Linked DNA regions of Caenorhabditis elegans. The protein of the gene in region 2 purifies or fractionates together with the protein of the main gene of each other region. This does not show direct contact. Each region holds a gene or a part of one and is shown on either strand. Other genes may lie near its edges. The genes, in order: prdx-6, wago-1 and ZK402.5.

Region 1 (3,755 bases), on a different chromosome or scaffold from region 2:
AAAGTTTTTTTTCCAAATTCTTATTCTTAGTCTTTTTGGGAACTCTTTTCCTGAAAAAATCTAATGATTCTCATTACCATAATACTTTTTTGGTGCGGCTGAAAATTATGAATTGTTATGTTTTATTTATTATTTTGACGAATTTTTGTTAAAAATTAAAATCATAAAAAAGAAACGGTTCAGTAACTATGACATTTTCCAAAAATTCCTGCAAATTTTCTTGAATATATGGAAATTAAAGAAAATTTTCCATTCTCCAAAACAATTTTTAATTCTTAATCTTTTCAGGAACTCCTACAACGAAACGGAGCAGGAACGACGAGTCCAACGTCAGACTCAGAAGATATCGTGGTGCTCCGACGGGATCGATCCGGAGTTGAAGATGATGATGATGAAGTTGATGAGCTCGGTGGAATCTAAATTTTTTTTAAATCTGAATACTGTATTTTTGTGTTCTTTTTGGATCTCTCTGTGCATCTAAATTTCTGTGTAATTTTCAATTTTGCAGCTTTTAATCTCTTTTTTTGGGAGGTTCTCATTGAAAATATCCAGCGGAAATTGCTACAATATTCAAAAAAAAAAATTCTCGAGAAATCGAAATTTCTAGTAGTTTTTGAGCATTTTCTGTGGGATTTTTCAGTAATTTTTAATGATTTTTTTTTCAAAATTTGCATCCCTGTCCTTGATCTAATCAATAATTTACAAATTATACCCCTTTTTTTCGTAGAAATTACTTTATTTTACAAAAAACCCGTCTTAACTGTGATAAATGTGTACTTTTCCCCCCGTCATAATAATAAATCAAATTTCTATTATTTTTAACGTTTTTTTTTTGCTTTTTTTCCTTTGTTTACTCTACCAATGATTTTATATTTTGATTTTTTTCCTTTTTTCAAATAATTTGCTAGTTTTATCTAAGCTTAGAACCTTTTCAGTTTTTTAAAAAAAGTTTTTTTGTAATTACTTTTTAAAGCGAAAAATCAAAAATTAAAAAAAAAAATCAAATTCCTAAAAAAAACGTTGGAAAAACTTTTTTCTGGAAATTTTTTTTTTAATTGTTTAAAAACAACGAAAAAAAATTAGCTATCTAAATTTTTCTTAACTTTTTTCTGGAAATTATTTGTTTTTGTTTTTAATTTTTGCTGGGATCTATTGAATGGAATTTTTGAAAGAACCAAGAAATGGGCGGAGCCTATTCCAAATAATTTGAGGCTGAAAAAAGTGAAATAAAATTGTTTTATTTACTTTGTGTTCGGGTTCTCAAGTTTCCTTCAACAAACTTTTTGGTCTAAAGCTCTTTAGATTTTCAAAACAAAAAACCAATTAAATTTTCTTGTTTTAGAACAATTTTAATGCTGAAATCTAAGAAATTGAATTTTAAAAAACCAAGAAATGGGTGGAGCTTATTACAAATAATTTCATTGTCCGACACCACTCCAAATATCCGATTGGAAAGTGAAGTCTAACACATAAAACAGATGACATTCGCCGGGAACAAAAACCACAAAATAAGCTCCGCCCATCTCATGGCTTTTATGTATAAATGATTTAATACGCACGTTTCAATTAAGTTTTACTGAATTAATAAAAAAATTCTTTTAAAAAAATTCTGAAATTTTGAAAGCTTTTGATATTTATAAAAGCTTAAAGCCAATATATGGGCGGAGCCTATTAGCGATTTTAATTTGGATTACGCTCCGCCCTTTTCTTGGCTATTTTTGAGTTGTTTTCTCGAATTTTCACATTTTTTCGAGCAACACGAAGGTGTCTACTGGTACGGTAGATCACGATCACCTACACAATCATGTCAACATTTCCCTGAAATAACGAAATAAATTGAATTTTGTTGTGATTGGAAATTTTTTTTTGTTTTTTCTTTGCTGAGCCAAATCATATTATCTTCTTAAGAAACTATTTTTTACTTTTTTATTGAAACATTCAAAAAACTGAAAATTATAATAAATTTCAGATTAAAACTCAAGAGATGAAGCTCGGAGACACCGTTCCAAATTTTACATTCGAAACGGATCTTCGCAAAAATCAAACTTTGCACAACTACATTGGAGAACAGTGAGTTTGGAGAAAAAATTGTTAATTTGGTTGTACTTTATTGGATAGTTTGAGTTAATTTGAAAGGATTTTGAAAAAACAAATTTTTTTGGAAATTTTGAAAAAAAATGAAAAATTGAGTTAAAGGTGGTGTAGCCGGATTTTTTTAAATTGCTTTATTAGACTCAAAATTGTCTGAAAACAAGGAATTTCGTTATGAAATTTCATGAAAATTTCTCAAAAAAAAAATTAAGACGGCTCAAAAATGGCCTAAAATTAGTTAAAATTAGAAATTTGACCTACTTTTCAATGTCGCCTTTACTCAAAATTTGACGATGATTTCAAAAAAAATTGGTTCCAGCCGCTTCGACATTGACAAGTCGGTCAAATTTTCGATTTTAACTAATTTTAGGCTAGTTTTTAAGCCGTCATAACTTTTTTTTGAGAAGTTTTCAAGAAGTTTCATGTTGAAATTTGGCGTTTTCAGACAATTTTGAGTCTAGTAAAGAAATAAATAAAAATTCGACTACTCCACCTTTAATAACATCTATTTTCCAAAAAAATATGGATTTTTTTTTTCTAAAAAATTAACGATTTACTATATAAAAAATGTTAAAAACATTTCGAAATTTTTTTTTTCAAAAGTTACATTTTCAGGTGAATTTAAATATTTTAAAAAAGTCCTGAATAATTTTCGCAAAAAGTTGAAAAAACACATTTAAAAAGTATTTCAGAATTTTTATAATTTTTTTTTGCAAAAATCTACTTTTTCACTTTAAAATTCTTTTATTAAAAAAATAAATTCCAATCCAAAACGATCCAATTTTCAGATGGCTGATGCTGTTCAGTCACCCGGCCGACTTTACGCCCGTCTGCACTACAGAACTCGCCGAGCTCGTCAAATTGGCTCCCGAATTCCGCAAACGCCATGTTCAGATCCTTGCGATCAGTATCGATTCATCAGAAACTCATCGTGATTGGGCAAAAGACATTAATTCGGTGGCACAATTGAGCAATTGCGGAAGCCATTTGCCATTTGAAATCATCGCCGACACGGATCGATCGATTTGTACAGAACTCGGAATGATTGATCCGGATGAGATGAATTCGGAGGGAATCTGTCTTTCGGCTCGTGCTGTGATGCTTTTTGGACCTGATAAGAAGCTCAAATCGAAGATTCTCTATCCGGCTACGTTCGGCAGAAATTTTGTGTGAGTGAGAAGATTTCGAGGGGAGAGAATTCAAGTTTTCAGACATTTCTGGATCTCAAAAATTCACAGAATTCGAATAATCAATAGATTTTTGTTGAAATTTGAATTCTAAAAAAAACTATTTTTGCTTTTTTTGCAAGTAGATTTTTGCAAGCCTCCTGAAACAAAAAAATTGAAAAAGCTAAATTTTCCACAATTTTCGAATGACTCCGTTTTTTTTAAAACTGTTTGCCAAACTACACGTGGTGTCAGAGTATCTCATTTTGGATTGATCTACGTTGATCTACAAAAAATGCGGGAGAAGAGACGCAGAGTTTTTAACTGATTTCGTATGATTAAGAACGTGCTGACGTCACTTTTTTTTGGGCAAAAAATTCCGGCATTTTTTGTAGATCAAACCGTGATGCACGGATTTCTGGCTTCCCTTATAAATCGAAATGGCAGAGTTGGCCGAACTAGGCCATTTTGGGTCGGAGAGATTTTGTGTAGATTTAC
Region 2 (3,755 bases):
TGATGATGTTCTCCAACGTCAATCTCTTCCCATCTTTGACAACGGCATTGGCTTTGGAAATTTTCATATCCTGGACGATCATCATTGTTCTCTGTTCCAAGGCTTTGTACTGCTCTGAAATTTTCAATGAACCATGAAAACTTAAGGAAAACTTACTGTGGAGGTGAACGATTGCGTCATCAGTGATCATCAAGACATACTTGCACTTACTCGCAGCCACTTTTTCCAGCTGAGTCATAATTTTTTCCGTACTGTAAAGTCCTGTTTCACATGGTGGCTTGATCACCATGCCTTTCTTCTTGCAAGAATCAATGAACATTCCGACGAGTTGGCTTAAGAATTGAATTGATTCATGTAAATTTCTATTTGTCTTACTTGACATCTCCAATGGAGAATCTGCAACCTGGATTTCCAACAGCGTAAGCAGCCCACAAATCAGGAACAGTCGCAGGCTTCACAAACCATCCTGGAGGCGCACGCCATTTTCCCATATCCGACATTACCGATCTCTGGTATACAAGTTCTTTTCCATCAAGCTCACGTGCTTGGACCTGGAAAAAGAAAACAAATATATTTTTTTACAATTTACACAAACTAACCATCAGAGGCTCCGAGTAAACCTTGATTCCAAGAGCGACGAGCAACTCGTTTTCGAGTGTAATGTTGACAGCATTTTTACCAGTGATGATCATTCGCTGACGGACATCCGGAAGAACCGCGCACTCCTTCGTTGTCTTTTGAGATTGATTTCCCGTTTGCTGAGGAATGGTGACACGTTGATTTCTGGACACAGTCATCAGTTCAGCCGGGAAGTAATTGTTGTTGCCTCGATCCTTACAAACCACCAAATTGGCGTTCGGATACTGTAGACTGATCTTGTATTTGTCCGCATAGTACTCGGCGATTGAACAAGTTTTTCCATCGGGCAACTCAAATCTGGTCTTTGTGGCACTTTCGTGAAAGATACCTTCGATTCTTAGATGGCGCTTTCTGTTGGTATAAGTCGAATAGCAATCAAGTCCTTTAATCACTGCCGCAGCCTTCTCACGGGTCATATTATTGAGTCCATTTGAAGGATCTTGTCCCGTGATGTCGAACAGTTTTTGGATCACAGTTTGCTCTTTGTGGAAAGCAGCTTTCATACCATCAATCACGAGAGATGGATTGTTCTGTCCGCGACCATAAGGACCCTCGATGAATTGAATCGTCTTCTTGAGGCCAGGATAAAGTTGTTTTCCGTCTCCTACGTCGACACAGTCTCGTTGATCGAATCCTTCTTCGGTGGCGTTGAGGAAATATACTTTTCCGTGCTCGAAGCATCCGAAACGATTTCTAAAATGAAGCGATGCTTTTAATAATTTTCGAAATTCACTTACGTTTCTCTCACGCAATGTTGATTCAGAGCAAGTTCCAAGAATTGAGTGTATTCTCGATTGTTTACTTCAATGTTTTGATCCGCAGTACGCTTGCCCAGATTTTCAGAAGAGAGCGTGATAGAGTTGTCCCTTGGGGCATAAATCTCGAGAGAAATGCAAGGCAGGGTCTTAAGGTCGTCATTGCCGGTATCAGCTCCGTTGATTTGGAAGACTTTGGACTTCGTACCGTTGGCATCCAGTTCTGAGAACAAGTTGACCGTCGTGTAGAGAGTTGATTGACCGTCATATACAATCTGATTCCCATCCTTCATTTTGAAGAATTCCGGGTTCTTCTCAACCGCAAGGAAAAAGATGTTGCAACACTTATCGCGACGATCCTGAACGACGAAGTCCTCCTTTCCTTTTTTAGTGAAAGTCACTTCCTTTGTTGAAGTCAAATCGGCCTTTGCGTGAACCATAAAACGATGAACTGTGGTTTCCTTTGTGACTTCAATTCCGAAGACATTGGTTTGGATGTCCACTGGTCTGCCCATTTTTCCAGGTTCGGTTGGCTTCATGTACATTTTCGCACCATCCTCAACCTGCAAATATGGCATTAGAAAGATCTTTGAATGCTGATAAACATACGTTTAACTGTTGTAAACGCTTGATGCATGCGTCGTTGCCAGTGCTTTGGTGAAGCTTTTGAGCATCGGCTGGAACTGGAGGCATTGGAGTCATAGCTCCTGGTGGAGCAGTGACTGGTGGCATTGGAGGCATCGGTGGATGCGGTTGTGGTGGATGAGGAGACATCTTATTACTATTGCAATATTAGTTCTGAAAAAAGCTTATATAAATAATATTCTGCACCGAATAAGCGAGATTGGAGAACATCTATAGAAAATTATGAATTTGTGAGATATTTAACAATAGTTTAAACAAATAAATCAGTTTTCTTCAAGAGATCAATCTAGAACGAAAATGGTACGTTATGAAGAAAGGGCAAACTACGGAATTTTCGTATTGCCGACGAAAAAGAATAATGATTCGAGATTTTTCGGTGTTTCAGAGGCGGCATAAAAACAAATAACGACTAGATTTGTACAAAATCATCATTATTAATGACGCAAGAATACAGAATCCGATAATTGGCGGCTAGATCAAATGTAGATCACTTTTACATTTTTAAGATTCAACGAGCAAGTTTCTTAAGATTTTGTAACTAGATTATTATTAAAATATAAAAATAATCTTGAAAATTAACAAAAATTATTGAAAACTGTCACAAACCGGAAAAGAATACAAAAAACAATTTCTTCGTCCTAAAAAATTTAAATGACAACGCATACAGTACATAAGAATGGAGATCGCTGCGAGACCCACTCAGTGTTAAAACGAACGCTCCTTGAATTTATTTTTGCTGTACAGCCTTATTTTTCTCCTTTTTACAAGTATTGTGTGCTTTCCATGTTTTAAAAAGTGACTTAGTTGTTAATTTTATTTTGAATGATACTCATCTAATTCAGGCTTGTAGCTTAGATCGCAATGAAGTTAATCGTTTGCAACCTATGTGGATTCCCGCCAGCAAGAAGGCAATTTTACATCACCACCTGCTCTCACATCTTGTCGAACAACGCAGACTGCTGGATTTTGTTATTTGTGTAAGGTCCCTACGAAAACTCTTAAAATAGATGGAAATCTGCCGAAAATGTGCGGAAAATGTTCAGCGCTGTACATCCCGATTCGCGACGTGACTGTAAAAAGTACAGATATTCTCAAACGTCTCACCAGAATTATTGGTTTTTAAAGTATTCAGAATTCAATTTATTAGGAAAACGAAAAATAAAAGGTAATTTTTTGCACTTGTTTCATGCAGAAGAAAAAGTTTTATTTCAGTCGGTGATGCTAAAAGATCAAACGGCGAAAACAGAGAAAAGGACACAGGAAATCACATGCCAACTGTCGAAGCTAGCCAATTTTGAGGAAAATAATCGAAAGAAGCTTCAAGATACTGAACGCGAGAACAAGAAGCTTCGAAATTTGTAAGTAGTTTCTGCACGAGATTAAATTTAACATTTTTTTTCTATTTTAGAATCAATTCCCTTGAACTGAAACTTGTCAGTTCTCCTGTTATCGACAATAACGATTTTTTTATTCAAGGAAAATCTACCTCTTCAAATCCTTTTTTTTTTAATCTCGGAAAATGACGAATTGCTCGAACGTGTATTTCACTTCCATTGTGCCACCTTCACCAAATTGTCAGACTTCCAACTTCTTTTTTTTCCAACACCAATGTATGTTGCAAATGAGTACGCGAAGAGTGGTCGTAATTTGTGGAATGAAGCCATGTGAGTTTAAGAAAATGACAACAGTTGATATTAAAATATTTTTGCAGCATTG
Region 3 (3,755 bases), on a different chromosome or scaffold from region 2:
CTGCGTAATATGAAATTGACAGGATATACATTTCAGTTCTCGCTCTTTTCGGAGATCTAGGAAGAGAAGTCGCCGAATCTACGCCATCTTCGTCGCTCTCGGCTTGGTTCGTCGTCTGACTTGCATTCATGACCATGTGCACGTGTCGACCAGCCTTTCGGTGATATGCAGATGTTCTTTTCATTCTTGCCGAATGACTGTGGTCCGCCTCCAACTTCAGCTTTCCATCACGTGATGCATACTCGCAAATTCGTTTGCCATCATTGAGCACGACAATTCCCTCCGTTTGAACTCTGTAAATCACTATTCGTTAACTCAAAAACCTTTTTAAAATTTTTTACTGTGTCAGAAAGTCGTCCGAAACTTCTCCAACAAGCCCAAGCATCACTCGGAGACGGCTTTCAATACTGTAATTGTCCAGTTGATCCATGTTTGGCGCAAGCTTTTTATGGAATCTAAATCTAAATTTATTAAAGAGAACCAGGTATAATATTCTCACTTTCGATAATAGGCTCCATCCGAACATCTGGCATTTTCTTTTTTACCGAACTCCATGAAAACTTTTGTTGCCACCAGTGGCTCATTGGCTTCTTTCGTCTTTTCAACAAGAAACGTCATCAATCTTACGTCATCGGCGGAGAGCATGATCTTCGTTGACCTCTTTCGTGCTGCCTTAGAAGATTTACTGTGGATTCTTTCCAACGTGAGTTTTCCGTCGCGTGACTTATAATTGCAGATTCGCATTTTCTTGTCAATCTTAACAGTGCCAGTCGATTTGATCCTGCAACAAACTAAATTCATAAATCTGAAGGTAACATCTCTCCTCACAATGTCATGAACTTGTCCGACACTTTTGCCGACAAGGCAAACGTCACTTGAATGCGTGACACGACACTGTATTCGTTTTTTTCGTTTTATGTTCCGACCCCTACAATACTTTAATACGAATAATTGAAACAAAATTACAATATAAAAAGTTTAAGTTTTAAAAAAATTTTTGGTCGACTTCCAGAATTATGAGTGGCAAAAAATGAGTTGTCAATCGTCATTTTTTGACAGTAAATAAAAAATTTCAAAAAAATTTTAAAAAGTTTTGTTGTGATATTTGGTCATTTTGGCATCATATTAATAGTTTTCTAATAGTTTTAGCACTTTTCCCACTGGCGCTACTCCACAGCATTTTTGAATGCTTTTCTTAAACTCTTTGAGTATTCCTACACAGTATTTTAAACTTAAAATAATCAATCCACCTTATATCAAAGTTAATAAGCAATATTTGAAAAATTTTAATGTTTCATAATAGAATTTAAAGAGTATAGCACTATCTCAGCGGTTTTAAATAATTTTCACCAATGACAAACACCTACTTTTAAAAATTAAAAAAATTTGAGAAGAAAAGCCCGAAAATTCAAATAAAGTGATAACCAAGAGTGTTATCAGTTTTCCAATTTAATAAATTTCTCAAAATTTAGCAACAAATTGCATATTTTGAAATAAAATTCCCACTTACCTGTTGAAACAAATTCAAAAAAAAACTTACTTTTCTACCAATTAATATTACTAAAGTAAAAATAGGAATAACATTAGAAAAGGTTCATATAGAAAACTAGAAGAATAGAAGAGGGTCACCACCAGTAACCCAAGTAAAACAAAGAATGATTGGAAATGTAGAATGTTGCTGTGCAGCTGCTAACGCCAAGGTTATATGAACACAGTGAGTCATTCTTTTCTACGTACCTATCTAGACGGTGACAACATGTTTGAGGGTTTTATGGTGGGGTGACAATATGTTGTCGACTAAAGGAATCCATCCATCAATATTTACCAATATGAATAATATTTCGAATATATTGTAATTTAGGAAGTTCTCGGAATACATGTGACTTGAATAATACAACTTTGAATGGGGTTATTCAAATAGTGTCGGAAAATTAAAAAGTGTTGAAAAATTACGTCACAACTGTAGGTATTAAAGGTGGGGTACCGAAATCTAGGAAATATTTTTAAATAACTCCAAATTTTCCCCTGATTCCGAACATCTATGTGAACAAATTAAAAAAATCCCTGATTATATATTTGATCTTGAAATCGCGTTTTTCATTTGCGTACCCATGAGATTTTTCAAATGCGCGCAAATAAAACTATACAAAAATTATTTTAGAGATTGAAAAACGTTGCCCCTATTATGTTGTCCCGAGGTAGAGTTGGCCACAGGACTGGGACCAAAAAAAGTTTGGACCAAAAAACAAAAATTGAAATTTTTGAAAAACCAAAAAAAAAAAAACGAAAATAAATTACGATGCTTAAGGATTCGTATTAAAGTATTGTAGGGGTCGGAACATAAAACGAAAAAAACGAATACAGTGTCGTGTCACGCATTCAAGTGACGTTTGCCTTGTCGGCAAAAGTGTCGGACAAGTTCATGACATTGTGAGGAGAGATGTTACCTTCAGATTTATGAATTTAGTTTGTTGCAGGATCAAATCGACTGGCACTGTTAAGATTGACAAGAAAATGCGAATCTGCAATTATAAGTCACGCGACGGAAAACTCACGTTGGAAAGAATCCACAGTAAATCTTCTAAGGCAGCACGAAAGAGGTCAACGAAGATCATGCTCTCCGCCGATGACGTAAGATTGATGACGTTTCTTGTTGAAAAGACGAAAGAAGCCAATGAGCCACTGGTGGCAACAAAAGTTTTCATGGAGTTCGGTAAAAAAGAAAATGCCAGATGTTCGGATGGAGCCTATTATCGAAAGTGAGAATATTATACCTGGTTCTCTTTAATAAATTTAGATTTAGATTCCATAAAAAGCTTGCGCCAAACATGGATCAACTGGACAATTACAGTATTGAAAGCCGTGTCCGAGTGATGCTTGGGCTTGCTGGAGAAGTTTCGGACGACTTTCAGTAGTATGTGGAGCTAAATTTCCCACCCCCAGCCAGGGAGCTAAATTTCGCACCTGCCACTCAAACCGCGTTCATGCACCGATTTTTTTCAAATCTATATCGTTTTCTTCGTCAGGAGAACAGAGAATTACGCAAAATAATTCTCAATCTCGAGGCCCTGGATGAGATTGAAGGACTCATTAGAGTATGGTGAGTTTTTTTTCTTAGTCTTTTTTTACCTTACCCTACCGTTTACAGGACAGAATAAATGCTTCTGGTCTCCTTGCCATTCAAGTCACCATTCAAGTGCCACCGTGTCTGGTCTCCTCGCCATTCAAGTTATAAATTACAATTTCCATTTTTTTCTGAATAAAAGCTTTGTTTTCGTTTTATTTGTTTAATAAACAATTTGGATGGAAAATGGAATCTTTTATCATTTGTGAAAATCTTTGAAAATAAAAAAAGTTTCGACAAAAAACTGAATAATTCTTCAAACATTTAAATTTGATACATCTCCTTAACTTTATTCTTCAATCTTGAAGCTGAAAATTCCGCGCCGAATGCACTGATAACTTTTGAGAATACATATAAAATTGAAAACCACCGACATCTCACCCTTCCACCATCTCTCTCATGGGTGGCAGGCGGGAAATTTAGCTCCCTGACTAGGCTTGAAATTTAGCTCCCCGGCATCACTCCAGCCTTCCCCCTTTTCTCTCATGGGTGGGGTAGGTGCGAAATTTAGCTCCCTGGCCTTCGGCCATCACCGTAACTGAACTCACCTCTCCCCCTTCTTTCCCTGCAGTGTGGGTGGCAGGTGCGAAATTTAGCACCCTGGCTGGGGGTGGGAAATTTAGCTCCACAT

What was found.
Region 1: the proteins of wago-1 (region 2) and prdx-6 fractionate together in Caenorhabditis elegans (co-fractionation; one large-scale study listed by BioGRID). This does not show direct contact.
Region 3: the proteins of wago-1 (region 2) and ZK402.5 fractionate together in Caenorhabditis elegans (co-fractionation; one large-scale study listed by BioGRID). This does not show direct contact.

Annotation. Positions count from the first base shown.
Region 1 is NC_003282.8:216,583-220,337, forward strand, and holds the start of prdx-6 (Thioredoxin domain-containing protein), read left to right. Parts: upstream 1-1,969; 5' UTR 1,970-1,984; coding exon 1,985-2,070; intron 2,071-2,879; coding exon 2,880-3,260; intron 3,261-3,755. Other genes in the region: Y38C1AA.1 (Phospholipid/glycerol acyltransferase domain-containing protein), read left to right, coding at 289-420.
Region 2 is NC_003279.8:7,233,821-7,237,575, reverse strand, and holds the start of wago-1 (Argonaute protein wago-1), read right to left. Parts: upstream 2,193-3,755; 5' UTR 2,169-2,192; coding exon 2,004-2,168; intron 1,958-2,003; coding exon 1,377-1,957; intron 1,333-1,376; coding exon 600-1,332; intron 552-599; coding exon 376-551; intron 333-375; coding exon 157-332; intron 115-156; coding exon 1-114. Other genes in the region: R06C7.2 (BEN domain-containing protein), read left to right, coding at 3,075-3,397, 3,448-3,472, 3,516-3,703, 3,751-3,755. UniProt on the Caenorhabditis elegans protein: Argonaute protein which is involved in the endogenous small interfering RNA (endo-siRNA) pathway. Interacts with secondary 22G-RNAs, which are RNA-dependent RNA polymerase-derived endo-siRNAs, typically 22 nucleotides in length with a 5'guanosine residue.
Region 3 is NC_003284.9:1,399,703-1,403,457, forward strand, and holds the start of ZK402.5 (SPK domain-containing protein), read right to left. Parts: upstream 1,658-3,755; 5' UTR 1,541-1,657; intron 929-1,540; 5' UTR 837-928; coding exon 829-836; intron 782-828; coding exon 500-781; intron 456-499; coding exon 342-455; intron 294-341; coding exon 30-293; intron 1-29.